Xenopus tropicalis: one gene and its partner. Each later gene encodes a partner of the first gene's protein in a complex. Links are inferred from orthologs where the notes say so. Each region holds a gene or a part of one and is shown on either strand. Other genes may lie near its edges. The genes, in order: itsn1 and fchsd2.

The links.
Region 2: the proteins of itsn1 (region 1) and fchsd2 are in contact, whole or in part, in a crystal structure (PDB 6GBU), measured with the Homo sapiens proteins. The link is inferred for Xenopus tropicalis from reciprocal best matches to the Homo sapiens genes ITSN1 and FCHSD2. Residues at the interface, in NP_003015.2 of Homo sapiens: Pro1076, Ile1078, Gly1098, Leu1100, Leu1102, Gln1117, Ala1118, Arg1119, Gly1120, Lys1121, Lys1122, Arg1123, Leu1136, Ser1137, Pro1138; in NP_055639.2 of Homo sapiens: Tyr576, Gln581, Thr582, Asp584, Glu585, Gln602, Asp603, Asp604, Asp605, Gly606, Phe607, Val618, Pro620, Val622, Leu623.

The regions. Positions count from the first base shown.
Region 1 is NC_030678.2:14,135,535-14,151,510, forward strand, and holds the start of itsn1 (intersectin-1), read left to right. Parts: upstream 1-3,835; 5' UTR 3,836-4,069; intron 4,070-15,976. UniProt on the Homo sapiens protein: Adapter protein that provides a link between the endocytic membrane traffic and the actin assembly machinery. Acts as a guanine nucleotide exchange factor (GEF) for CDC42, and thereby stimulates actin nucleation mediated by WASL and the ARP2/3 complex.
Region 2 is NC_030678.2:172,214,763-172,230,216, reverse strand, and holds the end of fchsd2 (F-BAR and double SH3 domains protein 2), read left to right. Parts: intron 1-1,826; coding exon 1,827-1,943; intron 1,944-3,934; coding exon 3,935-4,039; intron 4,040-5,828; coding exon 5,829-5,990; intron 5,991-7,406; coding exon 7,407-7,541; intron 7,542-8,140; coding exon 8,141-8,224; intron 8,225-8,751; coding exon 8,752-8,929; intron 8,930-9,166; coding exon 9,167-9,387; intron 9,388-9,897; coding exon 9,898-10,027; intron 10,028-10,494; coding exon 10,495-10,577; intron 10,578-10,806; coding exon 10,807-10,890; 3' UTR 10,891-13,889; downstream 13,890-15,454. UniProt on the Homo sapiens protein: Adapter protein that plays a role in endocytosis via clathrin-coated pits. Contributes to the internalization of cell surface receptors, such as integrin ITGB1 and transferrin receptor.

The DNA of each region.
Region 1 (15,976 bases):
ATTTGTTCACGTTTTCTTAAATTATAAAAATAGTCAATAGTTTACTGTTAATTGGACTGAGATTGCACAATTAATTTTCCTGGGTAAAATGAAATCTTGACCCGCCATGAAAAAGTAGAAGCGACCCGTGTAGGGGCAGAAACGAGGGGCCTGCCCGACCGATATCTGGCCTGAAATTGGGCAGATATCAATCGGGCAGGTTGGAAAATTCAGTCGGATCGGGGACTGCATCGGCTCATTAATGCGATCCCCGAACTGACTGATCCATTGCCGCCAATATAATTCGATCATTTGGCCCCAGGGCCAAACAATCAAATTATTTTTTTTTTACCTACACACTCCCCGATATCGCCCACCCGTACGTGGGGATATCGGGTGAAGATCCGCTCACTTGGCGATCTTGCCAAGCGAGCGAATCTCAACGTGTATGGGGACCTTATGTCCACCTTTAGACAAGAACCCCAGTGTGATATGTGCTGATCCCGGTAACATGATTGTCCTAAGGAAATGAAGGTGTAAATACTAAATAGGAATTGCGCACTTCTTGATTTGATTACAATATTAAAGGCTACACATAGAATGTTGGTGTATGCCACGTTGTTGAAAACCGTCGTAAGGTAATAAGTCATGATGTGATAGGAGGCACAGTGATGCCTTTGTCTTCCTGAGGAGTAAATTGATTGTAAGAGAGAGTCCTCTCTTACCCCCATATGTAATAAACCCCAGGAGCAGTAACCAATAGCAACCAATAAGTTGACTGCTTTTAAACAGGTGAGCAGTAAATGCTTCCTACTGATTAGCTGCTATGGGTTATTGCTCCTGGGCAAACTTAGTGACTTTTATTATATAACCCCCTTAATCTGAAATCTCCCTATTTGGTTCACGAGGGGTTACAACCAACAATATACAGCTGAGCCATAAGCATACCCCAGGGAACATTTCATCACAATACACCATAAGTGATAAGCGGGCAACATTGTTTATATTTGTATGTCGCAACAAAGTTCCCAATATGACCTTATAACAGCTCTTGGTAAAGCAGGGTGTGTATTTTAAGTGGCTTTAAAACTAATAAGGTTTTATTATATCAATAAATGTTACGTTTTAATGGTGATGGTTAAAAGGAGTGCTGCAATAGGTAAACTTTTCTGTTTGGTTCTTTAATAATTTTTTACACTGAGCACCCTTAAAGAAATATTGTCATGGGAAAACCTATTTTCTTCCAAACCATCAGTTAATAGAGCTTCTCCAGCAGAATCCTGCATTGTAATCGGTTTTTCCCATGGGGCTAGCCATATTCTTCATTTCCCAGGGTGCCACAGCCATGTAACCTGTGGTCTGATAAACTTCAGTCACACTTTACTGCTGCGCTGCAAGTTGAAGTGATATCCCCCCCTCAACCCCAGCAGCTGATCAGCAGAACAATGGGAAGGGAGCAAGATAGCAGCTCCCAGTAGATATTCTGAATAGCACTCAATAGTAAGAAATCCAAGTCCGGCTTGGGACTCCTCCAGTTACATGGGAGTAGGAGAAACAATAGGTTAGCTGAAAGCAGTTCTAATGTGTAGTGCTGGCTCCTTCTGAAAGCTTAGACTCTGACTTTGCGCCACTTGCACAGTAGAGTCTAAAGCTGAACGTTAGAAAAAAAATATGGCTTTCCTCTCTACTGGGCATGTGCTCGCTCCGGGATTTCAAGGACAGACGAGAGAAGGAAGAGAATCACAGGTTCACAGCTACCCCAGGCTGATGATTTGGGTCCTTCAGACCGATTCGGCAGCTTATCTGCTCATGTATGGGCACCCCCGATGGACCTATCTGATCGATTATCTGGCCTAAAATTGGCCAGTTCTCAATAGTGCAGGTTTGATTTTCCCATCGGATCAGGGACCCCATTGGTTCATTGATGCAGTCCTCGGACTGATGGCCCATATACCTGCCATCTTAATTTGATCTTTTGGCCCTAGTGCCTTGCATTGTGACCTATATTACATTCCCCCATATAACTGTAAAGCTGGCCACATGACAGTAAGCTGCCAACTCAGTCTAAATGGGCCAAGATGGCAGTTTTAAACAGCCCACACATGGGAAGAATAAGTTCTCAGGGGAATGGATTCAGCAGGACTAACAAGTTGTTAATAAAGATGGATAGTTTTGTTGTGCAGATGGTAGGAACCCCAATAACAATAATAGGAATTACCTACTTAAAACAGAACAAAACCTGGAAATATATGTTTTATGGTGTTGGTGGTCCAGTACTTGAGGTCAGGTATTTGTGAATGATCTATGGCAGATAAATGGTTAAAGGGGAAAATCACCCAAATACAAAAAGGAATTCCGAACAACTTTCCAATATACAAAAATGTAAACTTTTTAGTGACAGACATATTTCTAAATGCATTTGCTTTTAAAAAGTGGTCTTTCTGACCCTCGCTATTCCCTCTATTGTTAAGCTGTACCATTAAACAACGTAGGGGTATCCAGGCATTTTCCAGCCAAGAGTCCAATCCCCATAATGCCTATCATGAGTCTGTGATTCTGTACAGGCCTGTTACTCACAGAACACAGCTTTCTTGCCCTGACCTTATAATGTTCACACAGCCAACATCCTTCCACAACGCCTTCATTCCATTATTCAACCTAACACCCCTACGCTATAAGATCCCCCCAATTCTCCCTGCGCCTGGGATCTATGGAACAGAGGAGAATCAGAGCCAGACGGCACAACCCACCCTGACCCTGCTCAGCAGCGCCCCTTCTGCAGAGTCCCCCCGCATCATTGTCATGTGACGCATAGCTACGGCAGCCATCTTAAGGCCTGGCATATTAACCTCAACATCTGTCTTGCCAATCTAACGCATTCTTTCTGTATCCCTTATTTCTGAAGTATTTTTTTTTATTGTACTCTGTATCTTTTTATAAAAACTGTGTTGTGATTCATGATTTTATGTTTTTATGTTCTGTGAAACAAATGTTAATTATGAATTTACTATGAACTTGGTTTCAATAAAGCTCTTTGAAACCTTATTGCTGAAGTATTGCTTTCATAGTCAGTGCAAAGCTCCTGAGTGAAGGGTAAAAATGCAAAATGTCTTGGGCCCCTTTAGGGCAAAGACACACGGAGCTACTAGTAGCAGCTACTTGTCACGGCTACTAAAACAGACAATGCTGATCATTTACTGATAATTGTCTCTACATGTGTTTTAGCAGAGGCAATTCTCAGTATTGTCTATGGCAGGGTATTTTCTGGAGTTTAGTAGCTGCTACTAAGTATCTCCGTGTGTCTTTACCCTTATCTGTGTCTGAGCAAAGTGGTTTACATAAATGAATCAATCGCACCCTGCATAATCCACAGTTGCTCAACTAAAGAATAGGTAATATGTATCTATAGCATAAATAAATTTGAAGCAACTGGACTTGTTTAGTTCTCAGTTGCTTCAAATTTATTTATACTAGATATACCATGACCTGGATGAATGAAAATCTTCATAGACATGTATCTATAGCCTTCCCGAGGCTGGAAGCTCCTTATAACGTCCTTTCTGCCCAACCCTATCTCTGGATTAATGTTTCCAATCTGTCTTTGTCACATGCTATGCTTTACCCCTCACATAAAGGTTTAAGTGTTAGCGCCCTCAAGGCTAATGGCCGCCGTAGACACCAGCGGTGTGAGTCATGTGAGGAGTTCGCTGGCGTGATGACGACACCACACCCATTGAATGGCAGGGAGAAAAAGAACGCGGCATACTATTGGTTGAAGCTACAGAATAGGCGTGTCTTTCCTTGTTTTTGATTGGGCCGGCACCGCGTGACGTCAGAAAGCGGGTTGGTGGTGTGGGTGCGTAGTATTGGTGGGAGGGGACGGCGGTGCGGGGTGAGGGGATCCGCACTGTACTACAGGCACAAGGGGAGAGTCGTACGGACACGGGCATTGGGAGAGTAGTAAGGGGAGGAGGGGCGCTGAAGCAGAGGGCATGTTGCCATACAGCCGAGCTGTCTGAGAGGGGAGCCGTATTGGACATAGCCGGTGCTAATCCCTGTGGCAGAGGAGAGGGTGGAGGACCGCTATGAGGTGAGAGCTGTGCCGGGGCGCATTATTATCACCATTAAATATGATTAATGCTTTGCCTGGATTATGTGCGGGGTGGAACAGCTGCAGCCACCAATGGCTCGGCAAATGGCTGAGGGATATGGAGTTGGGCGGCCAACATGGGATTTGGGGATTCAGTTAATTACATGGCAATGCTTGCAATTCTGTATGTCAGTGATTTCCCCATGCTGATGTCCTGCAATGGAATAAACCAACATAGGGGAGCACTCTAGGGAGACAAGCAGTGCTGGCTGGGGGGCTCCACCCAAGGGAGAATGGCATAGCCATCTACCAATTCATTAATACAATGTATCTGCTACCAACAGCAGCATCCTTCTGTCTATATGCCTTGTGTTTCTGACTCCTGAAACAATGTAGCAGAACCCTGGGCAGATGTGACATTGCAACACTGTTTCACAAGTCAAGGCTAAACACATAAATGTTGCCTGAAAAGCAATTACATTTACTCAAAACTTTGAGCTTTAACATAAAGTGGAAACCTACTTACAACTGCATATTCTTCAACTAATAATAACTACAAAAGATATAAACACATTTTATTGACCCAAGGTCCTTGTAATGCTTCTATAGGGGGCCAGTACATTGACTTACATAGGCATTGAGACCCCATGGTTTTCTTTGTATATATAAACCGTCATATAGAGGGGCACCTCTCTGAACAAATATGGCTTACTGCTATGTATGTATGTATACAGGATCAGGGCAATAGGCATTATAGCTAAAAATATGTGTTTCCTAAATTTCAGTTTGTCATTATTATTTGGATTTTAGATGGAATTTAAATTAAGTAGCAGTGCCATATTTATCATGAATTGTAATGTAAAAATGATCTATATCTATCTATCCTTCCTCCTGGTAAGGGCGGTCCAATTTCTGTTTGAAGTGCGTTTCCCAGGTATTCATTTTTTAGGAATCTGTTGCCTTCTAAGGTGTCATTTAGTCTCAGCACTTTGATTTTCAGCCAATGTACAGGTATGGGATCCCTTATCCGGAAACCTGTTATCCAGAAAGTTCCAAATTATGGAAAGGCCATTGCCCATATACTCCATTATAAACAAATAATTCTAATTTTTATAAATGATTTCCCTTTTCTCTGTAATAATAAAACAGTACCTGTACTTGATCCCAACTAAGATATATTTACCCCTTATTGGGGGCAGAACAGCCCTATTGGGTTTATTTAATGGTTAAATGATTCCCTTTTCTCTGTAATAATAAAACAGTACCTGTACTTGATCCCAACTAAGATATAATTACCCCTTATTGGGGGCAGAACAGCCCTATTGGGTTTATTTAATGGTTAAATGATTCCCTTTTCTCTGTAATAATAAAACAGTACCTGTACTTGATCCCAACTAAGATATAATTACCCCTTATTGGGGCAGAACAGCCCTATTGGGTTTATTTAATGGTTAAATGATTCCCTTTTCTCTGTAATAATAAAACAGTACCTGTACTTGATCCCAACTAAGATATAATTACCCCTTATTGGGGGCAGAACAGCCCTATTGGGTTTATTTAATGGTTAAATGATTCCCTTTTCTCTGTAATAATAAAACAGTACCTGTACTTGATCCCAACTAAGATATATTTACCCCTTATTGAGGCAGAACAGCCCTATTGGGTTTATTTAATGGTTAAATGATTCCCTTTTCTCTGTAATAATAAAACAGTACCTGTACTTGATCCCAACTAAGATATAATTACCCCTTATTGGGGCAGAACAGCCCTATTGGGTTTATTCAATATTTAAATGATGTTTAGGAGATTTAAGTTACGGAGATCCAAATTATGGAAAGATCCCTTATCCGCAAAACCCCAGGTCCTGAGCATTCTGGATAGCAGGTCCCATACCTGTACTTGCACCTAGATGGTTAGCCCTAGGGGAATTTCTGTGCTCTAGAGTGTAAGCTCTTGTGAGCAGGTTGGGGGGCACTTGTGCTAGTTTTTCCTCACTGTTGTGGAAGCTCTAATGTTTGATAAATGATGAAAAGGCTTGGCTATATGGGAAGTCTCACCCCCTTACACAGTGACCCCACCCCCCCATGTTTGTAGGTCACCGCTCCCATCACAGCTTTGGCAGGTTTTTATATTGCCTCCTTCCTAGTGATAACGTGCAGCGCTGGATTAGGAGACATGACGCAAGCAGCTAATGTTTCAGAGCAATCGTGGTATCTGGGCTTCGTACACTTTCTCATTCTCCCTATGAAGGGATCCTCTGTGAGGAACGACCCACCCTATTCTGGCTTGTACTCCTATTCATTCATTGCTTGTCCTTTCATTGCTGTTGGCTGTGCTGAGTAATTTGGTGTACTACCAACATTAGAGATCATTGTACGGTCGTATTTCGAAATAGTCTCGCTACTAACCATTCGTGTTCCGACCTTTTGCCAATCGTCAGGGACAGATAAAAACATGTAAGTTGCATCCTGTTATTAGAGTGTGATGGGTTTTTCCTGTTTTTAGAATGTGATGAGTTTTTACTTCAGCTGGTTATCGCTTTAGATACCCGCAGTCTGGGACAGATTGTAGTTTACCACAATATCATAAAGGGGCAGTATACCCTCTTGTTCAACATAAGTGCAATGAACAGAGCTTGTGCTTATTGTACTTTTAGCCTATTGTTTACATCATGAAAAACTGTTTTTTGTTGTAATTTTTTTTTTTTACGCGGAAACAGGGAGTTTGCAAGGTAGATAATTAGATTCAGTATACAAGCTGCTCCCATTTTCCTGTTGCTCCCCAACCCCTTGGGTGTTGCTCTCAGTGCCCCCAAACCAGGGAGTTATTTTTGAATTCCTGACTTGGGGGCAAGTTTTGGTTGAATAAAAACAAGATTTCCTACCAAATAAAGCCCCTGTAAGCTGATAGGGTGCATAGAGGCCCCTAATAGCCAATCACAGCCCTTATTTGGCTCCTCCATGAACTTTTATGGTGCTTGTGTTGCTCTCCAAGTCTTTTTATATTTGACTGTGATTCATGAGTAAGAAAGCTTGGGGATCCCTGGTTTAACTGAAGAAATAACAAGAAAACATAGATTTTTCATGGTTAAACCAATAGGCAAAACTTATGTTCAGCACAAGCCCTATTAATATCACCAATGTTGAACAAGGGGGCATGCTGCCTCTTTAAAGGGGTAGTTTACATTAAAAGTAAGCAACAGATTTATCTGATTTATGGGTGAGTTTTATAAAAACTCACCCATGTTCTCATTCCTATGGCATTTTTTAAAAAAAAAACGTTTTTATCAATGGGTGAAGGTTAGAACTGACCATTTCGTAAGTACACTTCTAAAAATCAGGCAGATTTACTAATCCACAAATCCGACTTTTTCGTCGCCGTCACAACTTTATCGTAATTGTTGCGACTTTTTCATCGCCATCGTGATTTTTTCATATTGAGAGATAGTAAACGGCGGAAAAAACAATCCGATTTTTTTCACAATGGCGACGAAAAAGTCGCAGAAAATATACGAAAAAGTCGCAATGGCGACAAAAAAATCGTGGGACATACAAAAAAGGTGCAAAAATACCGATCATTACGAAAAAACGCATTCGGACACCTTCAGACCGTTCATGGAGTAGTAAATCTCCCCCTTAGTATTTGAATTACTTATCTTTCGATTTAGTCTCTCCCGTAGTCATCTTCCAGTTTTCCACTGCCTGGTTGCTAGGGTAAATTTTACTAGATAGCTGCTGACATTCCAGATTGGAGGTTTACTGAGAAGCTAACTAAATAATTAAAAAAAAAAAAGTTGCAGATTGTCTCAGAATATCACTGTCTGAATCATACTAAAAATTAATTTAAAGGTAAACCAGACCAGAGGTAGAATGTATAAATGAATTTACATTATGCCTTTAGGTGTGTTCTGGAACAAGCATGAAGTGCTTATTAAACAGGCAGATCTCCCCTTTATAATAGCCCTAGCTATAAACTTGAGTTAATAATATTTACATGACAATATAACTCTCTGAACTATAACAAAACTAACTATACTGGACTAAGAAAAACATCTACTGCTTTGTGGGATTTGCAACAATCAGTTGTAACAAGTACTTCAGAATAATCCAGCTGATACACTTGTGAATACTGCCCCAGACCCTGAATAAACCATGTTGTAATGCAGGTAGTAGGGTCACACGTGAAACGATTATTTGGTGCACAAAAAAATCATCAATGTATCCAAAATGTAAAAAAATTGACCAGACCAAATGGACAGAGGTGCCTTAGTGTAAAGACCTGCCGGGTCTGTTTGTTTCAGGCCCGCACCCAACCTGTACCTGCTTGCCCTAAGCCTGACCTGCTCCAGCAGAAGGAGTTGCGTTGACCTCAAGTGTCGACATAACTCGATTCTGGACGAGTTCCGAACACTTTTTGGGTATCCTGCAGGTACCCAACCTGATGCAGGTCTCTACCTTGGTGCTCCATGGTCTCTGAGCTCCTCCCTCCTAACGCGTTTTACACCATTGGACTCTCCATCAGTGGAGGTATGGTATCCCAGGTAGTTTCACTTTTTGCATCTAAGGGCAATGGCACACTGCGAGATTAGTCGCCCTGCTATAAATCTTTGTTACTGGGAGCAACTAATCTCCCCGCAATGCCATCCCACCAGCAAGAATGTAAATCTCCGGTGGGATGGCATATGCGTCGCTTCTGTTTCCCGAAGTTGCTTCACAAGGAAACTTCGAGTGACTTTAAGTAACTTAAGCGACGCGTATGGCATCTCAAGACTAATCTCCACGTGTGCCACAGCCCTAAGGGTGAAGACAAATAACTATTAGCAGCTACTTGTCATGGCTACAAAAATAGACAATGCTGATATTAACTGGTAATTGTCTGTGTGTTTTAGCAGAGGCAATTCTAAGTATTAGCAGGTATTTTCTGGTGCTTAGTACCTGTGACAAGTAGCTGCTACTAAGTAGCTCCTAACGCTCTTGCTGATTATCACAACTTGTTCACAACAGTGTACAATAGTGCAAACATACATCAAACATGATAAAATTAAGATTGACAAAGATTGCACCATAGTAGTCCATTACCATCCATAGTAGGTGCTGTGCTCTTTGTTTATGGGGAAATTTCCCCGTATTTGAAACACCTGTAGCTAAACATGAGTTATGGGTTGGATATATTTCTAAGAAACAGAAGGGCCTATGAAATAGCATGTTTTAACACCCACAGAAATGTTAGAGATTTTTATCAGCCTTGGGGAAGCTTCTTCCTTGTTACTGCTCTTAGGAGGCACAAACATGTGTGGCAGGGACAGCAACGGATCAGCCTGTAGTTGCAGAGCAACATTCCATGTATGGGGGGAATTCTGGCTTCATTGCAGCAGCAAGCATATACACTACTGATTCATCTTTAGCAGTATTATGTCTCCATTTCTAGAGTATGGCAATTACAGCTTCTATTTGTAACCTTTACAGACGTAAGGTAGCCATACACTGTAAGATTCACTTGCTTGGCTAGGTTGCCAAGCGAGCAGATCTTCTCTTGATATCCCCACCTACGGGTGGGCGATATCGGGCTAATTCGGTCCGGCTTATCTGCCCATGTATGGGACCCTCTGACAGGCTTCCCCGACTGATACCTGGGCAAACATTTTTCGTTGGATCAGGGGCCGCATCTGCTCATTGATGCAGTTCTCGCTCCCACTTTTCCTTTTTTATTCATTGCAAAGCAATCATTTAGCCCAAGGTGGGCATATCAGGGGAAAGATTTCCTCATTTGGCGGCCTTGCCAAACGAGCAAATCATTACGTGTATGGCCCCCTAAAGCTGGCCATACACGCACCGATACTATCGTACGAAGCCTCGTTTCGTACGATATTTGGTGCGTGTATGGCATGTCGGCAAGTCGACCGATATCGCAGGAAGCTGCTGATATCGGCTGACTCGCCGATCGGCCAGGTTAGAAAATTTTGATCGGGCGCCATAGAAGGCGCCTGATCAAAATCTCCCTTCAGTGCTGAATCGGCAGAAGGAGGTAGAAATCCTATTGTTTCTACCTCCTTACCTGCCGATTCAGCCCTGAATGGTGTGTGGCGCATCTGACGATGTTTCGTGCGACCGGTGGTCAGATCGCCACGTGTATGGCCAGCTTAAGTCTGTAGCATGTAACATACTGAGTAAAACCAATATAAATTCTTCTCTTTTGAAATATTGAGCTACCTCAGTCTAATTGCACACCAAGAATGCAGGTTAAAAAATGTTTGCTGAGATTGCATCTCTGATAGCTTATCCCTTCTTGTTAACTGGATGTATTGACTATAGGTGCCCATACACGGGCTGATTTCATTTCAGCTGCCGATATTGGTCCTTTAGACTGATGCGGCAGCTTATCTGCTGGTGGATAGGCACCACCGTTGGGCTTCCTCGTCTGACATCTGGCCTAAAATTGGCCAGCTCTTGATCGGGCAAGTTTGATTTTTCCATTGGATTGGGGACCTCATTGGCTCATTGATGCAGCCCCCGATCTGACAGCGCCTATGCCCATCGTTTTATGCGTTCATTTGACCCTAGGGAATTAGAATTAGCCTGATATCACCCACCCGTAGGTAGGCATATCGGGAGAAGATCCGCTTGCTTGTTGACCTTGCCAAACAAGCAGATCTTAACCTACGGGTGGGTGATATCGGGGAGCTTGAAGTTAAAAAAAATATATTATTTAGGCGGCAATGGGGCAGTCGGTTCGGGGACCGCATCAACGAGCCGATCCGACTGAATCTTTTAACCTGGCCGATCGATATCTGGCCAATTTCAGGCCAGATATCGGTCGGCCAGCCCGCTCGTTTCTGCCCTTACACGGGCAGATAAGTTGTTGATAAATGAAGCCCCAGTTATTTAATATTAATAGGGATGTTTCGGGATGCTTTATTTCTCTGAGGTTCCTTGTGGGTGCTATTGGGGTTATGTAATAAAAGGCACTAAGTTTGCCCATGTGCAGTAACCTATAGCAACCAATCAACAGGTTGCATTTACTGGTCACCTGTTTAAAAGCAAACATCTTATTGGTTGTTATAGGTTACTGTTCCTGAGCAAACGTAGTTCCTTTATCATGTAGGGGGTATATATCTAATGTCTCAGGATGTTTTATTTTTCTGAGGTTACCTGTGTGGGCTATTGTTATAATACACGAGCCATGAATATCCTGTCAATTAGATTCTTATAAATGATGCTTAGTGATCTCATCAGTCATAATTGATGCTCAGTGATATAATTTGTGTGAAATGACTTGTTGAAACTTGTGTATTATAACAAATAAAGTACCCCTTGTTGTAAAATATTAGATACTATAAGTCACCTTGGAGTTCCATGACCTATATAAAAGCATTATATGGTAATAGAACTCCTTGGTGACATATGATATTGTTATATTTTACAATAGGGAGTACATTATTTGCTGTGTATCTTATTCTTAACAAATATGCTATGAAAAAATAAAAGGGAAATTTACTTTTTAACATTATTTAGGCAGTGGAATTTTTACCATATGTTTTCCTTTACCTTCTGGCCAAATACAGAGCGGTATAGCAGGGTGGGCGATGCCTTGGTTGGCTGCATCAGTTTCATTCGCAGGTTCCATGATGCTTATCTCTGAGCAGTATTATGTGCACTGACAGGCAATCAGGTCCAATAAACGAAAGTTTCCAGTATCTGCGCTCTTGGTTAGCGGTCGGGGAACCTCAGCCAGGGGTGGCGTAGCCTAACATAACAGCCACCTGTCTCACTGCCTGCAGGTATGGGGGAAAAGGGTTTTTTTTTTTTGGAGACTCATCGATGCGATTGTGGATTGGTACTGCGCTGGGGCACTACTGGGTAAAAGGCGATAGAGAATTTAGTTCCCCTTTAATATTCTGTTCAGGCTTTCATTTAAATTCGTGTCCCAAGCAGACACCAGGGTACTGGTGGGCACTGGTCAATTCCTGTTGCCAACAATATACACTGCTTTGTTTTTCCCAAACATTAATGTTGTCCATTCGGGAGCCTAGTGTAGCCAGTGCACACAAGAAGTGTCTAAACAGAAAGAATGTTCTTAATTAAACAGATCGATGTGGGTTCTGTCTCTGAACAGCTGTGAGAGGTTTTCACATTCAGGTTTTATGGCTCCAATTCACTTACTATTGTGATTATTCAGCTGTGATATTGCAGGAGAAATTAGCCACCAACTATTACACACAGGTGTGTCCCTTAGATTGTAAGCTCTTGTGCTCAGAGCCCTCGTGTTGTTGTGCTCATGTACAGAATCTATTGGTGCTCTGTAATTGATTATAATAATAATAATATGCCTGTAATACTTTGGGGAATTCACAAAACTGGAGAGAGCCCTTTTATTTGGAGTAAAAGTGGTGGTAAAACTGAATATGGAGAAAGTGTTTTACGCCAAACAGAAATTTGCCTAAATTCCAACTCAACCACCACTTTTCAGTGTTTGATGAAAGAAAGACAGTTTACAAACACTTTTGTGGATTTGTCTTATAAACAATATTTTAACAGCATTTTTTGTGACGTTTTCAAAATGGAGTATAACTCCATGTAACTCTGCCAGATCAATTCTAAGCTCTTCTGTTTTGATTTGTTTCACCCAGTCTCCAATCCACACCTCTTATAGGAGTGCCATTGGGGGGATCATCAGCATATTAATAGGGATCAGCAGCCTATTGTCAAGGGACAAGTCTATAGGTGGCCATACACGGGCCAATTGTAGCTGCCGATACCGGTCCCTTAGACCGATTCAGCAGCTTATTGCCCCGTGTAGGGGCACAAATGACGGGCCTGCCTGACCAACATCTGGCCTGAAATGCGCCTATTTCAGTGTTCCCCAGGGCCAAACTACCGAATTAGCCCCCGTAGGTGGGGATACCGGAAGAATATCCGCTCGCTTGGCGAGGTTGCCAAATTATCCTAAATTCACTCTATATCGCAAGATATTGCAGGTTTTGGCCCATTCTGCTTTGAACATTCTCCTAGGCTTAAGCTTTTCATAGATGGATTAAATTTGAGGACATTGATCTGGGATGCTCATTGGTACAGTTTGGTGATATACATGGGTGGCCTTAGGCTGATGCCACACGTGGCGTTTTTACGCTGCGTATTTTCTCAGCCTAAAAAGGCCGCACAAGCCACACAGCCCCTGACTATGGCGTTTTTCAGCCTAGTACTGGTGACGTAGCAAATCCCGTTTCCCATGGTGTTAATAGTGCGAAATAGTCAAAAACGCAGCGCATTTCCGCTAGGTCTGGCAGCTGCCTTTGTGTATACATAGGAATAGCTTGCTGTGCAAATAACGGCGTATTAAGGCAAACGCTTCAAAAATCTGTGGTAAGGCGTTTTCTAGCGTATTTACACATTGTGTGGTTTCCTTCAAGTCTTTTCAAGTTATTTCTATGGATGATGATATTGTGCGTTTTTCAGCCACCGAGAGAATTAGAAAATACGCAGCGTAAAAACGCCACGTGTGGCATCAGCCTTACTGTTCTCATACCTGTTCTCAAACCTGTGGTTTGGTTGCACCCTTGCGGCTTTATTCCGTGCCTTTATTCACACCCCGATATCAGCTAGATGGCTTGGTAGGTTGGCTCATAGTCTTAATGGTAATCATCTAGTCTGTATGAAAACTGTGTGTGTGGTCAGCTTTGCTTGGTTATTTTTCAGGCATCTTTTCCTTTCTCCTGGTAGGAGTTCTCCGTTGAGTGACTGGTGTGAAACCAAGTTGGCCTTGTACCATAATTCCAGTGCGGTGGAATCCAAGGCTGATTGCTTTCCAGATGTAAATGGATCATGATTAATTTTGCTATATGGGAAACAGCTGATATGGATAAATCATAGGCAACAAACTGCAGAACGAGCCAAGGTCACTCTCTACTGTGCTCTGATATAGGCCTCTTTAGCCTTCTAGGAATATTACATTCTGTGAGTAATAAGAATGACACAATGCTGCATTCAATGTCTGTATTAAACAATCTCTTACACATATATTCCTTAATACCTAATAAAAGCTGCTTAATTAAATGCCTCCCTCTGTCATCTAGCTATGGCATTTTCAGCTGGCAGTGGCTATCCCCACTTGGATTAGTTTTACGTGATTTGTTTAATACCAAGTGGGAGGTGTTCTAGGCAGATTGTATATTTAGTTTGTGGTTTTAGAGGTTTTTTTCATTTGAAAGTCTGTGAATATGTGTGGAAAAACGTAACAACCACAAAAAATGTGTGGTTTTCGTGTTCTTTTCATTTTCGTTCCACAATTACATTTGTTTATGCCTTTTCAATTTATCTTTTAATAAATGACTTTTAGATAAAGAGAATCTAGTTGCGGTTTCAAAAACCTTCGAAACCACTAAAATGAGAGTGTTAATAAATGGGCCTGTAAATGTTATCTCCTGGGTTACAGTAGATGGATCTTCTCTTTGTCTCTCTGTTTTGGGCTGGAAATAGATTGAACAGGGACTGGTAGCAACCAAAATAGAGTCAAAATATTTCTTAATCATGATGCTTTGTGAAAATAATGTACAATTTTGGAAACGCAACTTAATTATAATAGTGTTCATTCATTTTATTTTTCCTTGGGGGACCCTGCACAAGTCCAGGATTGCACTTTTTTAGGGTTCCAACCCAAGTTTAAAATCCTGTCTGGCAAGGACTGTATCGGTGGGTTATCTCCTGATGACAATCGACCACAATGATGAGTTCTGATCACTGCGTGCTAAATGATTGTATTTGGGTTACTGTGTCAGTCAGGGCCGGAATTAGGGGTAGGCAGAAGAGGCAGCTGCCTAGGGCACAACGATTGGGGGGCGCCAGGCAGGAGCCTCTCCTGCCTACCCCTAGTACAGTACGCGATCAGCAGTTGTGTGCTGCACTGCTTTGCATCGTACACTGCGCCGGGGGGGGGGGGTGCGCAATGTAGGTGCAGGGGCGAGGTAGCCGAACGGGTTGCCTAGGGCACCCAGTCGGCTTGGCCCGTCCCTAGTGTCAGTGGCCATGATCCACGTCTTTGGTGGATTTTACCATGTATGGCTTGTTTTAAAGGGGAACTCCACCCAAACACAACATAATTCAAGCAACTTTAGTGTTAAAAAAATACACAATCTTTACATGATTTTTTTATTTAATAATATGGTTTAGAACAGTTCCCTAAGCGCCGCCCCCTGTTCCCCTGCTGATCTGGCTGACTACTTTGAGACTCAAATACAATGTAACAGTAGTCGCCTGTCCTCAGCCTGCCTTCAGCCTGCCTACTCCCAATCCCACAATTCCCTGCACACGTGATGTCAATAAGGAAAGGAACATCACATTGCAAGGCATTGTGGGCTATGTAGTTCCTGCATGCTGTCCGTACGCTGTGGAGAAGTTGTTACAATTTGTTACATGAATGTTTTAGTCCCTCCTCCCCTGCCAGGATTTCAAATGATGCAGAAAGAGAAGAACTGTTTTGCAGCTGCATTTCAGCATATAAAATGGTACTTATTCATACTTTTTGAAGGAACAGATTACAGTGATAGGTATATTAGGGGTTTCTGTGTTGCGTGGGGCTCTTTAACAAATTTTGGTTGGGAAGGCAGAGTTCCCCTGTAAGCAGTTATAGGCAGAAAGGTGGTTAATGAGCAAATGCAAGTCCTGCAGTAGATTCCATGTGCAGTATGAATGGTGGTAAGAAGTACAAGCAGCCCCATCATGGCAGTGGCCCTTGTGTGTGTCTCATATACCCAGTGGGCAGATGTACAAGTCTCTAACTAATATTTTTCATCAGTTTCACATAATTCCCCCTAGCTTTAGCCGCGCAGACCGGCTGTATCCGCCAGCGTGAACTCCTGCCCTACATTACTGGCACGGTTAGTGGTGCCATGGAGGATGTTTAGAGGGATTAGCA
Region 2 (15,454 bases), about 160 Mb from region 1:
AAGATATGAGGAAAACCTTATGTATTCTACTTGTTATAGGCTCCTCCCACTTACCCAGCATTCTGTGTGTCACATGGTATCACTGAATCAGAACACACCAAGATATGAGGAACACCTCATGTATTCTACTTGTTATAGGCTCCTCCCACTTACCCAGCATTCTGTGTGTGTCACATGGTATCACTGAATCAGAACACACCAAGATATGAGGAACACCTCATCTATTCTACTTGTTATAGGCTCCTCCCACTTACCCAGCATTCTGTGTGTGTCACATGGTATCACTGAATCAGAAAACACCAAGATATGAGGAACACCTCATGTATTCTACTTGTTATAGGCTCCTCCCACTTACCCAGCATTCTGTGTGTGTCACATGGTATCACTGAATCAGAAAACACCAAGATATGAGGAACACCTCATGTATTCTACTTGTTATAGGCCCCTCCTACTTACCCAGCATTCTGTGTGTCACATGGTATCCCTGAATCAGAACACACCAAGATATGAGGAACACCTCATGTATTCTACTTGTTATAAGCTCCTCCCACTTACCCAGCATTCTGTGTGTGTCACATGGTATCCCTGAATCAGAACACACCAAGATATGAGGAAAACCTTATGTATTCTACTTGTTATAGGCCCCTCCTACTTACCCAGCATTCTGTGTGTCACATGGTATCACCAAATCAATGCCATCACGCCTAGATATGAGAAACAACAGTTACAGGGCCCCTCTCACTTACCCATCATTCTGTGTATGTGTCACATGGTATCACTGAATTAGTAAAGGCCAAACACACTAAGGGGTATATTTATGCTGTGTAAAAAGTGGAGTAAAGCATTACTGTTGATGTTGCTCATATCAGCCAATCAGATGTTTTGCTTTGGTTTTTTAACTGTTGAAATCTAATTGCTGATTGGTTGCAACATCACCACATGATAAATATACCCCTAAAGGTGGCCACATGTGGCGATGTCGCACGAAACATCGTCAGATCCGCCACACACCGTTCAGGGCTGAAACAGCAGATAAGGAGGTAGAAACAATAGGATTTCTACCTCCTTCTGCCGATTCAGCCCTGACGGCAGATTTCGGTCAGGCGCCTTCTATGGCGCCCGATCAAAATTTTCTAACCTGGCCGATCGGCGAATCGACCGATTTCAGCAGCTTCCTGCGATATCGGTCGACTCGCCGACATGCCATACACGCACCGAATATCGTACGAAACGAGGTTTCCTACATTATTATCGGTGCGTGTAAGGCCAGCTTAAGACACCAGAGACACTTGCACTTACCCAGCATTCTATGTGTGTGTCACATGGTATCACTGAATACATAACAACAAAACAAACCAATATAAGGAACACCTCATGGTATTCTCTCGTTATAGGCCCCTCCCACGTACTCATGATTCTTTGTTTTATGTAACATGGTATCACTGAATCAGTAACAACACACTAAAATATAAGGAACGCCTCATAAAAATCTGCTTGTTACAGGTCCCTTTTATTTACCCATCATTCTGTGTGTTACATTGTATAATTGAATCAGTAAAGGCCAATGTCAGTGTCTGTGTAACTAGTTGCATTATTATGTATAAGCTGCGTTTCATAATGATTTGCTGAGCTGCAGACCAATTTGCACCAATCCCTGTGTTCTGTTATCGACTTTATTTTCATGTATTTTTCTTTTAAAATATGAAGCATGCCCTGTCATGAGTAGCTGATAACCCGTCTCTGCTTCAGTTCCATTCTCCCTGCTCAGAAAGCGATTGTTACAGCGAATGAGCTTGTGCAGCTAAATATTGCATGTTGTATTGCAGAGCCGACAGCTGGAGTCTGAAACCGGCACTACAGAGGAGCACAGCCTAAATAAAGAGGCTCGGAAGTGGGCTACTCGGGTGGCACGGGAGCACAAAAATATCATCCATAGTCAGCGGGTAGGTACTCCATGACCACACTCCAAGGCAAAGTAAACCTGGCACCAACCCCAGGGGAATAAGGGGCTCATGGGGTACGGACTGAAGAGAAGTTTTAAATAAGATTATGAAAAATGTGTTATTCTTAAACTGTTTTAACCCAGTAATTTTGAGTTACTCCACTGGATGGGGTTACCACTGTCATACGTCAACCTCCATTATGTATAGACATAAAAATGCTTGCATTGCACAAATGCAGCCTCTGTATCAGCTCACATGCCCTCTATGTTTGCACAGAGATGTTCCTACCTCCCCTACAGCAACTACAAACAACTGGCCTATTGAAATAAACCTTTAAAAGGAAACGCATTTCATGCTTAAGCACTTTATTTATTCTGTTTACAGTAGAGGGCGAGGGCACACCTTATTGTGTACATTCCCGCTGTGCATATTTGCATGGATACTTTAGAAGTGGCTGATATATAATATTTGGCTTGCCTCAGGCATTCCCTATAAAGCTCCACGCTGCAAAGCTGTATTTATATAAGAGCAGAACATGTTGCTCTGTGAGGCAGGACTGCAGATGGGCAGTGACCATTGCAAGCTTTAGCTGTGAGTCTAAAGGTGGCCATACACAGGAGGATTTGCTCATTTAGCAAAGTCACCAAACAAGTGGATCTTTTCGTGATATGCCCACCTAAGGTGGCAAACGATTGAATTAAAACTGCGGGCAAAGGCGCCATCGGGAGGACCTGTTGGGGCTGCCCATACCCGGGCAGATAAGCTGTTGAATCAGTCGAAAGGACCCAAATCAGCAGCTGAAATCTGCCCCTGTATGGCCACCTTAAGCCAGTAATAATGAGCATTAGCTGACTGGCTTTACACCACAGTATCTGTGGTCGTAACCAAAGTTTATAGTCTATAGCAGGGGTCCCCAAGGTTTTTAGGGTGAACCCAGTAGGGGCTATGATTGGTTATTTGGTAGCCCAATGGGAACTGCCAGACTACAGGGGGCTCAGTTTGGCAGTATACATGGTTTTATGCCTCCAAAACCTGCCTCCAAATCAGAATTTTAAAAATGAGCATCAGCTTAGAAAGCCATTGGTGAGCCACTGGTTGGGAAACACTGGTCTACAGCCGGGGCCCCAACCTTTTTTACCCATGACCCACATTTAATTTTAAAAAGAGTTGGGGAGCAGCACAAACATGAAATGTGTACCTGGGGGGTACCAAGTATGGGCTGTGATTGGTTATTTTATGTGGACTGGCAGCCTACAGAGAATCTGTTTGCCAGTACAACAGGTTTTTATGCAACCAAAGCTTGCCTTTAAAATGAGCACCTACTTTGAGGCCACTGGGAGCAACATCCAAGGGGTTGAGGAGCAACATGTTGCCCCTGAGCCACTGGTTGGGGATCACTGGTCTATAGCCATAAGTCTATTTTACTAATGTCTGTGGGCCATGCTTTAGCTTAGCCAAGCAGTGTGGCAGCTTTCATTCATGCTTTAAGCAATATATGTTGTAGTAACACAGAAGAAACTCAACTGTACCCAATAGATGTACATCATTTATAAGAAGGGGCTGATACTGTGCGATAGTATATAGGTTATAGTAAGGTAACATACATATGGATGCCTTCTTGCTGTTGGAGAGCATCTTTCAGTGTCAACGCCAGGAAATATTCTGACATAGACTAATCTCCCCGAAATGCCATCCCACCAGCTAGAATGTAAATCTCCGGTGGGATGGCATACGCGGCGCGGTGATTTGCCAAAATTGCCTTGAGAGGAAACTTCGGCGATTTCGCTCCGTGTGTTTTCACCCTTAGTCCCACTGGCAAACAATACAGAGAGAATCCTCTTTAGCTCCTGATATTTAGAATACTTCTAATTCCTGCATCAGAGCAGTTGATTCCCCCCCTAGGCCTGATGTGCTGATCCGGGGAATACATAACCCACAGTACTGCCTGCAATCAGAAAATTGTACTACAACCTTCTGTCTCTTTTATACAGGCCCTGGAGGAGCTGGAATGTCAGACCACCCCAGTTTCAGAGCAGAGCCGGATGGAACTGGAACAAAAGATAGAAGAGACTAGAGAGAATATGCGCAAGGCAGAGGTAAGTTGTGCCATCTGTAACACTGGGGTAAATCGGGGGGCCAACAAGCAGTGCAGTTGTGTTGTGCTCCCAGATTTTAGAACTTTGCTTGCGCACAGAGGCAAGATTTGAAGCAAGAACTTGCAGCAAAAGTCACTGGTTGCTGATGAGTATTATGTCCCAGTAAGGGTTAAGGCCTTAGGCAAGAATATGAGGACTCTATCTGTCTCTGGTTTCACGACAAAGGGCAATATTCTTTGTCGCCTGATTCTCTTCCTCAGGTGTGACATTGTTTAGCGTCCCTGTGTCTGGTTGCTGCAGGGGTTAGGTTACCGTATGCCCTTTCAGATCAGAAACTTCAACACTTCATTGGCCTGGTTACTTTCCCATGGCTGGGGGAGGCTGTTTCGTAATGCACCTATGACTTTCTGGTCCGGTATTTCCCATACCTAGAGTGTAAAGTCCATAAATATTGGATGCAGATCTACCATCTGTACCGCATTGTTAAATAAAGGGGAAGTAAGAAAGATAATCTAGGCTCTAAATTGCCCTATTGCTGCTGCTTATACCTCAGATTCTTACTTTCATTATCTAACTCGTGTTTCCTTATCTAACTCGTGTTTCTCCAGTTTCCTTAATAAAGATTCACCCAGATCCATTTGGTTTTGCCCAAATGCTCCACGAGCAATTACAATTACTAGCAACCGCTTTCAGGGGGCATTTACAGCTGAGGGCACTAGCGTATCTATATAGGGGGCAAATCCAATGACCTATTTTGTGTTGCCTTTCTAATAAGGTCTATATTTGGATTTGTAATATAGCTGTGAGAACATTAGCAGCATGGTGGCACGCACATGAGGTTGCAGGAAGATACTGGATACCTAGGGCAGCTAATGATTATTTGTGCTTGATTAGACAGTGAGAATTGCCAAGCAAAAGCTCTACCCTCCTACCCTTTCACTTAACATGTAATTTATCTATCTGGTTATAAGTTACTTATCTGTCTTTGGTAACTGATGCCTTGTTATGCTTCATTATTGCTAAGTCTAATGTCCCACAGGGAGATTAGTCACCCACAATAAATTTCTGCTAACGTGGGCAACTGCTCTCCCCTAAATACTTTTCCACCGGCAGTAATGTGAACTGCCGGTGAGAAGGCATACGCATCACTAAGATGCCCGACGTTTCCTCGCAATTGGCAAAGCAAATGTCTTCCCACCAGGAAGCCAGTGATTTCTAATTCAAAATTCAAAGGAAATGTGTCCATAGAAATGGTTAGCACTGCTTCTGCCTCTGGATCCTAAGTTCCTTTGTGACCTGGAAACCATCTGCAAGGAGTTTATGCTTTTTCCCATTGTCTGTATAGGTTTCATGCCAGTACTTTAGCTTCCTCCCACATACCAAAAGCATACAAGCAAGTTAATTGGATGCAACAAGATTGGCCACGTGAATGTGATAGGGACCTTGGAATGTAAGCTCACTGGGGCAGGGGCTGATGGGAATGTGATAGGGACCTTAGATTGTAAGCTCCACTGGGGCAGGGACTGACGGGAATGTGATAAGGACCTTAGATTGTAAGCTCACTGGGGCAGGGACTGATGGCAATGTTATAGGGACCTTTGAGTGTAAGCTTCACTGGGGCAGGGACTGATGGGAATGTGATAGGGACCTTAGATTGTAAGCTCCACTGGGGCAGGGACTGATAGGAATTTGACAGGGACCTTAGATTGTAAGCTTCACTGGGGCGGGGACTGATGAAATATGCCACTATATAAAAAACAATAACAAATAATGTTCTATTCCTGTACAGATTACAAAGCTAAAAGCTGAAGCCCGACTGGATCTGTTGCGGCAAATCGGTGTGTCGGTGGACACGTGGCTGAAGAGTGCAATGAATCAGGTGATGGAGGAGCTGGAGAATGAGCGCTGGGCAAGCCTCCCAACCCTGATGAATAATGGCTCCTCCCATATGGTATAGTCACATTACCTCTATATATAATATAATATAAAATATATTATATTAAAATGCACCTTATTTACGGTTGCAGCTACAGTCACTGCAAAAAAATGGCAACCTGCAGCTCATGAATGACTTCTTTTTCTATTATTGCCCAGTGGGTTCTGTTCCAGCTGTTGCCAATCTCCTATTCGATTGGGCCACATATGTGCTGTCTCATGTGTGCTGGGTATATCATTTGGGTAGTTACTAATACTAAGATCCTTGTCATTCTGTGATTGCATTAAAATGGAAGTGAATTAGGATTTACAGTACTTACTGTAATTAAATCTCGCCATAAAACCACAGGCAGGAACAACCCAAAGCAATGTATTTCCGAGCTGCTGATTGTAAGTTAAATCTATTACCGGCCTATTGCCCTTTAACATGAGGAATTCTCTATATTACAAGTTAATGAGCCAGTGGGTGTCTCACCATAAATCATGCTCCCAGGTTATGAAACGCTGGCCGGCAGTCTGATAAACTGTCTGGGAGGCACCGGCCGATGAGTGGCACCTCATTTACAGCAAATGTAAATGAAAGGAACACAAGGCTGGGAATGTGTAGTAATTGCAGCGTGAGTCTCCGGTGTCACAAGGGGAGCGTCTCGCTTACTCATTAACTCCGGCTTCTTGTGCTGAAAGGCAGAATTCTCTAAATGCCAGTGCTGAAAACACTGCAGTAAATAAATAAAGTTGTACAGTTACACATCTGTTTAAAGAGACAGCAGGCCTTGTACCACAAAGCTTACAGTCCAAGCAAGATAGACACAAATACTGTAGAAGGGCAATAGGTGCTACCATTCATCGTGTACTATGGATATCTGTGGATTTGTCAGGTTTTACACTTTTTTACACTTCACCTTTAAGTATGTTATAGAATGACCAATTCTAAGCAACTTTTTAGTTGGTCTTCATTATTTATTTTTTATCGTTTTTGAACTATTTGCCTTCTTCTGCAGCTTTCAAATGGGGGTCACTGACCCCGGCAGCCAGAAACGATTGCTCTGTGAGGCTCCAGTTTTCTTGTTATTGTTACTTTTTTTTATAACCTTTTCTATCCAGTCCCTCTGCCATTCATATACCAGCCTTCTCATTCAAACCAGGCCTTGGTTGCTATGGTAATTTGGACCCTAGCAACCAGATAGCTGCTCAATCTCCAAACTGAAAAGCTGCTAAACAAAGTCAAATAACTAAAAAAAAAAAATACAAATAATAAAAAATAAAGTCCAATTACAAATTTTATCAGAATATCACTTGCTACATCACACTAAAAGTTAATTCAAAGGTGAACAACCCCTTTAAGGTGAAGAATAGCCACAGCGTTAGGTGTGTTGTTGGTTTTGATGTTCCCCCGACAGAAGGCCTGATTTCTTTGGTTGTTTGCTGACAGGGAGGCACAGATGTGGATCGGGAGGATGGAGAGGAGTTGGAGGACAGCATGGATGCCTTTGATGACAGCAGCTCCAGTCCTTCTGGCACCCTACGGAACTATCCGCTGACTTGCAAAGTCATCTACTCTTACAAGGTTTGTGTGAGTTCTTGTATCCACAGGCCAAATCACCAGCAGGGTTCACCATGGGGCATCTGGCAAGTTATCAGGGTTGTACAATAAGTGGTGCTGGAACCAGTGCTAAATAGGAGTTGTGCTTTAAACAGCAGAAAATGCCATGAACAATACTGAGAATTGCCTCTGCAAAACACACAGAGATAATTATCAGTAAATGATCAGCATTGTCTTTTTTAGTAGCCACGACAAGTAGCTGCTACTAGTAGCTCTGTGTGTCTTCACCCATAGCCTTATAAATGTACAATATTCGCTGTTGCTTCTGGGATTTACATCTGAAGGAAAAAGAAATCATATCTGCCCAAGTACTGTAACATCAAAAAGAACTATATTGCCAGGTTTCCTTTATCATGGTTAAGTCTGTAGGGCAGACTGATTGGACACTATGGGTTTTAGACCTAGGGCCAACTTTGTTCTTGTTACTAAGTTTCATCCTAAAGTATTCATTGGGATCTGGGTATAGAATTGATTTTCTGCTGCCAAAATCTCTGCCAACCCCTGGTAAATGGCAGCAGGTTCTCTATAGGGGCTTCTCTAATCTTTAACTGCTCGCCTTGTAGGCCTCTCAGCCTGATGAGCTGACTATAGAGGAGCACGAAATGCTAGAAGTGATTGAAGATGGAGACATGGAAGACTGGGTGAAGGTACGTTGGTCAGACACATTATATTGGCCACAGCAAGAATATGTATTGATCATTAAAACATTGTAGTTGCTTTAAAATGTATATCAGATATTCTATGTACTACTGAGTCATTGCATACCCTATTATTGTGCACCCAGAATAAATTTGGTATTTATATCTATGGGTGGGAGGCACCATATTGTCTCTCTTTAACATTGCAGTTTAAGGGTATCTAATTGCATGCACGGAACATCACCTTTGTATATTATTTTTTTACATAATGCCATATAGGTTATGTCTGCTAAGGCATTCTCAATAGACATTGAGTAAACCGCACTTTGATAGCCTGGCTTGGTTTCCAACAAAGTCCGTAGGAAACAAACTGTATTGTGTAAGGGTGTAAGTACCCAGATTTTCAGGGGATACTGGTTGGTAGTGTTATACTGTATGTCTCCCATTAACTCCCATTGAAGCCAAACAGATCACAGGGTGAAGTGCTATATTCACAAGGCTAATGAGATTATACAACGTGTTTGTCTCCTTGGCAGGCGAGGAACAAGTCGGGGCAGGTGGGGTATGTACCAGAGAAGTACCTCCAGTTTCCTGCATCCAACAGCCTACTGAGCATGCTCCAGTCCTTGGCTGCACTCGATAGTCGCTCCCACACTTCCAGCAACTCTAACGATGCTGATATGGCCTCAGGGAGCCTGAATGGAGACACCAATGGTAAATCCGCTTTCCTGCTACTTTATGTTCCCAATCAATGTTATTAATCATTACTCTTTATTTCCAGTTTACAGTGCCCTCCTCAGGGGCATTTGAGCTTTGAGGTTTTGGCAGCTTGAGCTATATTTTCATTTAATAGGCCTTATAGGCCAGTAACTTGCTGATATTCCTATTGCTAGGCCACACTGGCTACCCTCCCTTTCAGCATTTTGACTCTGCATTTTCTTTGTTCCTCAGTCTGTTTCGTGAAAGCACTTTATGAGTACGATGGCCAGACCGACGATGAACTGTCATTCCCAGAGGGGGCGATCATTCGAATCCTGAATAAGGAGAACCAGGACGATGATGGATTCTGGGAAGGAGAATTCAACGGACGCATCGGGGTCTTTCCTTCTGTGTTGGTGGAGGAACTCACTGGGTCTGAAAATGGAGACGCCCAGTGGTTTGGCGATGTTCAGGTAAGCAACATTGGCTAAATAAGATGCTATATTTTTATTTCTTGGCTCAGCTGCTCAACAGCACCCTCTAGAGGCCACACACACTATAGCTGGCCATGAGCTCTGGGTGTGGGAGATTCTCTAAATATAGAATTCACTACTAAATATAGAGAAGATGATTTAACTGTCGGCACGTGTAACCTCTTGTTCACAGTGCTGGTCTCCACCCTGGGAAATGACTTTTCTATAGATGCCATAATAACTACCCTCAGAACAGGGGTGTGCTACATATAAAGCAGCTTTTGGGCAGGAACGGATATATCTTCTTCCTCGAGTTGCACCTTTCTTTTTATTTAGAAGCTGAACCACAGATTTTTTTTGCAGCAGGAAGAAGAGTTCCTACATCTAACTTGATCCTAGGCTTGTAAAGGCTGATGGGAGTTGTTGTTCTGCTTTATTGCCCCCTTATAAACATAGGTCAAAAGTATTTTTCTTTTATCCAAAAAATATTTACTTATTTTTGTTTCCCAGATATCGCCATCTCCGAAGCCGCAGAACTCTCTTCCCCCGCTGCCTCTATATGACCAGCCTCCCAGCAGTCCCCTTTACAGCCCAGACAAGAATAACGCCCAGTACTTTCCTCGCTCGCCTTCTGGGAATGGTAAGTATCTAACTCTTTCTATTAGTAAGTGAAATAACAGATATTTTGCCTTATCAGTGTTGTAAACCCTATCTGCCAAGTTGGGCAGGCTCATTTAGGGTGAAGTATTAAAGGAGCAATTTGGTAAGAAATAGGGATGCGCCAAATCCAGGATTTGGTGTGGGATTCAGCCAAGACTTTATCTTTTTTGGCAGGATTCTGATTCGGCTGATTCTGATTCTGGTCACATGAACAGAAGTAAAAAAAAAAAAATGTAACTCTTCCATAGACTTACTTGCATATGCAAGTTATCTATTTTTTTAATTTATTAGGAGTCCAAGTTGGTACAATTTTTGCCGACTCCAGGTACCCACAATTGCTTCCAACTCCACAGCTCTGTATAAAAAAAAAAAACAATGCAGGAATGATCAATTCTGAGTTTGATCTCAGTATTTATTAAAAAGCTCTATATTTCTTTCTTTGTTTAGAAAACAACATGAGTTTGGATTCCCCAGGGACGTCCCACCCACCCAGAAGCATGCCGGAGACTTACCATAGCAAGCTGCGCCCTGTAAGTTATCTTTTCTTCTATCTAGGTTCTCTGTAATACTGATGAATCTAGTTATCTGGACTTACTACTGAAATCTGTCTGCTTCTGTGTGCATCTACCCAGCAGATATTTAATTTAAGAGTAGCTAATGTTACATTAGGCCATCTGCTGGTAGAAGGTAGTATAGCGGTTTATATGAATTACTCCTTAAAGACACACACTCTAACCCGTATTGCTCCTCCAATCACAGGTGCGCGCTGCCCCTCCACCACCCACGCAGGCACAGAGGCGGCCGGCCGAGAAGGCAGAAGATGTCGAAATAACGTTGGTGTAACCACGGGTTTCCCAAACTCTGCTGACATCAAGGCCAAAGGACCTGTTTGGTCGAGACGTTCAGGCACCTTCTGCATGTAGCGATCCATGTCATATCAAGGGAGGAGGATTTTCTACGGCCGCGGACTTACATTGGACATTTTGTGCCTTTTTTTTTTTTTTTTTTCTTCTTTTTAATATAAATGTTATCAAGCCTCTTTTAGCACAAGAAGCAATGAGGTTAAAGTCGTGCAATGTAGGTGAGATCAGCTTTGTACAGAACGGCAGGGGCGTCCCTTACCTGCTTAACATTAGATGGAGACGTTGGGTACCCGTGGATACTGTTAGGCAGTAGCCTCTTCTCTGCACTGAATATTCCTTCTCTGCATGTTTGTACCTGGGAATGGGTGATGCCATAGTGCTTGCCTCTGTAGACTCATAATTCATCTCCTTGCTGTTCTAGCGAAGCTGGCAAGCAAAATGGCAGCACTTGCTCTAATATATAAAGGCTAACAAGCAAATATGTAATTCTGCTTATAAAGGCACCCAAGAAAATGTTGACCATCAGTCCGCCATCTTCTGTTAAGCAGTTTGGGCACCCCTGTTCTGAGCATAGACGAGCCCCGCAGAGGTTGCACCAATGAGGACGCTTGGAAGAAGCACCTCCCCCGGCTCCTGTGCCAAGGCTGTAGAATGACCCAATACATGCAGCATAGTCATAGAATACTTCTATCATGCGCGTTAGTACAGTATATTACTGTTGCCATAGGAATGTGTTAAGACTGTCCGATATCTCCGGTTCTCTGTATATTGAACGGATACAAACTCATGGCACCTCCTTCCTGCCCCCAGAATCCCGCGGTGCATTGCAGAGCAAAGTGCTGCCAACGTGGCAGGAAAGGAAGGTGAATTCAGACTAAAAGGGGGGGCTGGCTCCTCTCGATTTTATTCCCGATGATACATAACACTGTACCGTGTCTCTGCCCATTTCTTCCATCATTAATCATTCAGATACTATGTAACAAAGTGATGTATGGATATTTAAGCAGCTCCAGAGCTTTGGATAGTGTGAGTCTGAGAACCCACTCTGTAACTTGCACGCCTCTTTCTGCTGTTGGACTACGTTTCCCAGCATTCTCTGCTGGTTGAAACTCCCGGGGCCAAAGGCTCTGCCGGACCATAGGAAGCATATATATATATATATATATATTTCAGAGGCTTTCTCTTATCTGCTTGTACTTTATTTTTCTTCCTTCTATTGGAAGCACTTACGGTGCTGCTTGTGTAGGCAAATGACGGAACTCTGCAGAAAAGCATCCTATCAGCATCTGATTGTAACTGTTTCCCATTCCTGCTCCCTTCCGACTTCCTGACAGATTTCCTGACTTATCTGGGACTCTTCTTATTGTTTATTTCCCCTTTATCTCTCATTGGATGAATGCGACTGTGCTCACAGACGCCCCTTTACTGGCGCAGAGGATCCATGGGCACAACTGAAAAGCAAAGAGCCAATCAACACATGGATTTTTTTTTCCGGCTATCTGAATTCCACGTGTTCTGTGCCAACCTGGCTGAATTAACTGCTTTTGTCCATTAAAAAAAACACAAATGGAGGTACTGGTGACATCACAGTGACATCATTGTGACATCATTATACGCAAGCAAGTCTCCATAAGCGTTTTGCACCTTGTGGTCTTAAAAAACATGGAGCAGAGACCACAGCCGGGTCCGGAACCAAGTCCACCAGGGGATAAACCAGTGACGCCAGTATACGATGATAATCCACGTGGGATTCGTTACGTCTAAATTACATTTAATTACAGTGCAAATGTTTTAACCCTGTATATAGGTTTTATTGGAAAAATCCACAGATCGATGAAACTCTATTTCCCCCCCCCCCCCTATTATTTTGTGCCAATTGTAATTTAGGAACATTGGCTCCGCCCCCACACCCCGACCCCCCCCTGTGCTGATTGTAGAGAGCAGAATGTATGTAAGTGGTTGGCCGGCGTGGCGCCAACTGATTGTGCAAGGCTTTTTTTTATAGAGCCAGGATTTTCCTTGTGCAAAGGAACGGCCGTGTTGTTCTAGGTTGATCATTGTTCTAGGTTGATCATTGTTCTAGGTTGATCATTGTTCTAATGCTTGAATGGTATCTTCTTGGAAGATTCACTTTAAAAAAAAAAGAAAAAATATCTTATTTCCCCTCGTTCGTGTCTTATTTTCTTGTCCCTTTATCGACTGCACCTTCTGTAAATGTGTTTATCCGACACGATTTGTACATTAATCCTATAGAATGGAAACGGGACTGCAAGTCCCAGCATGCTTACCCCAGCTGAGCTGGTAGGGGATGCTGGGAATTGGAGTTCCTATTACAGCTGCAGTGCTATTAACTTGTGTCTCTCGGACCCCAGCAATCTACCAACCCCTGTAGAGGATTCTGGGAGCTGTAGTTGCAGCAACCGCTCGAGCGGCACCAGTTAGTGATCAAATTTATAGGCTTGGAAATGGGTCGCCTTCCTGATATTGTCCAACTTCCAGCATCGGGGCAGTGATTGGACAAAATCTAGGAAACGCCCACTACTGCCTAAAGTCGCCCAAACCCTGTTATCCCCCAGTGGCCCTATATCTTGTAATTTCCTCTACTGTCGGTGGGATAGACAGGGCCCCCAGCTTCTCTTCTGTTAATCCCCGGCCAATTCTAGTCTATTCATAGCAACGGTTTTGTCAAAACAAGTGTTATTTGAAGAAAAAAAAAAAGAAAAGAAAAATCTTTATATTTAAAAAAAAAAAAACAAAAAACGGAAAAAAAACATTTCTGTATGAGCTGCTACTTTATTTAACAGAAAGATGTACAAAAGCCTCTTTTTAACCTCACGTAGGACATTTAACCCATTCCCGCCATGTACAGTGTCAATACACCCTTAAAGCAGAGGTGCAATTCTTCTTTGTATTGGCTGTAAAAAGTTTGTATTTATTATGTATAAAAATGTTGAATAATAAAAAAGTGGAATATCTCTATCCGGCCTGCTGTGTCTTTCTATTGGTGGAATAGAGCCTTGCTATTTGTCCTCATTTTTTATTATTTGTGGGTAATATAAGAGTTTTTGTTCAGAAACTCTTCAATTACAGCAACTATCTGGTTGCTAGGTTTTGTTACCTTAGTAACCAGGTTATAACCTGGTTAACCTTGTTATTATTTGTCCTCATTTTTTATTATTTGTGGGTAATATAAGAGTTTTTGTTCAGCAACTCTTCAATTACAGCAACTGGTTGCTAGGTTTTGTTACCTTAGTAACCAGGGAGTGGTTTGAATGAGAGACTGGTATACAAATAGGAGAGTACCTGAATAGAAAAATAAGTAGTAAATAGTAAAAATAACAAAATTGTAGCCTCACAGAGCAATCGTTTTTTGGCTGCCAGGGTCAGTGACCCCCATTTGAAAGTTGGAAAAATATACAAAATAAATAATGGCCAATTGAAAAGTTGCTTAGAATTGGACATACTGAAAGTTAACCTAAAGGTAAACCACCCCTTAGACAAAGGTTGATATTTCGGATACAGTAGATAGTTACAGATAGTTGCCTTGTCAGTAAATGAGAAAAGACAAATGGGTTGGTATTAATACTTGTGATACAGAGTTGCCCCAGGGACTGACTTGGTAGCCATAATGAAGTCAGGGAGGAGTTTTTTTCCCCATTGGTGGCAAACTGGAGACGACTTCAGACTTTGTACCCTGGCCCAACAGGAATCTAGGTAGAAAATATAGAACTTTATGGTTGTGTGTCCTTTGTCAGCCTTGGCTACTAATATGTATCTTCCATTTCTGGCAGTTGATATTGTAAAAGATTAGCTTTTATACGTGTGGTCCTTGCAGTACCTCCTCTTGCCTGTTTTGCCTTCATATCTACCATAGGCAGCAGTGGAACAGCACCCCCATCTGTGATTTGTGCTGCACCCTGAGGCTTAGCTGACTGCCCCTATGTTTTAACCCATTGTACAATAATATTCAAGACCCTTATGGTTAAAAGGCCCCTATTTATTATACCATTTGCATTTGCCAAATATAAAGTCTATTTGCAGATTCTGCCTTGCACTGAAGTGCCATTGTCTCTTTCCCAAACTTCACTCCGCTCACAAGCAGGGGCTGAGTCCTGTTGGCCAAAATAGTGCAGTGAGGACATTTAGAGGTTAAAAGGATTGTTCACCTTTAAAGTAACAGACAGTGATATTCTGAGATAAATTGCAATTGGTCTTAATTTTTTTATTTGCAGTTTTTTTTAATAATTTAGCTTTTTGTTCAGCTGCTCTCCAGGTTGGATTTTAAGCAGCTATCTGGTTGCTAGGGCCCAATATAACCTAGCAACCAGGCAGTGGTTTCAAAAAGAGACTGATATATGAATAGTAGAGGGACAAAATAAAAATAGAAGTACAGGTATAGGACCTGTTATCCAGAATGCTCGTGACCTGGGGTCTTCTGGATAAGGGATCTTTGTGTAATTTGGATCTCCTACCTAAAGTCTGCTAAAAACATTATTTAAACAGTAATTAAACCCAATAGGACTGTTCTGCCCCCAATAAGGGGT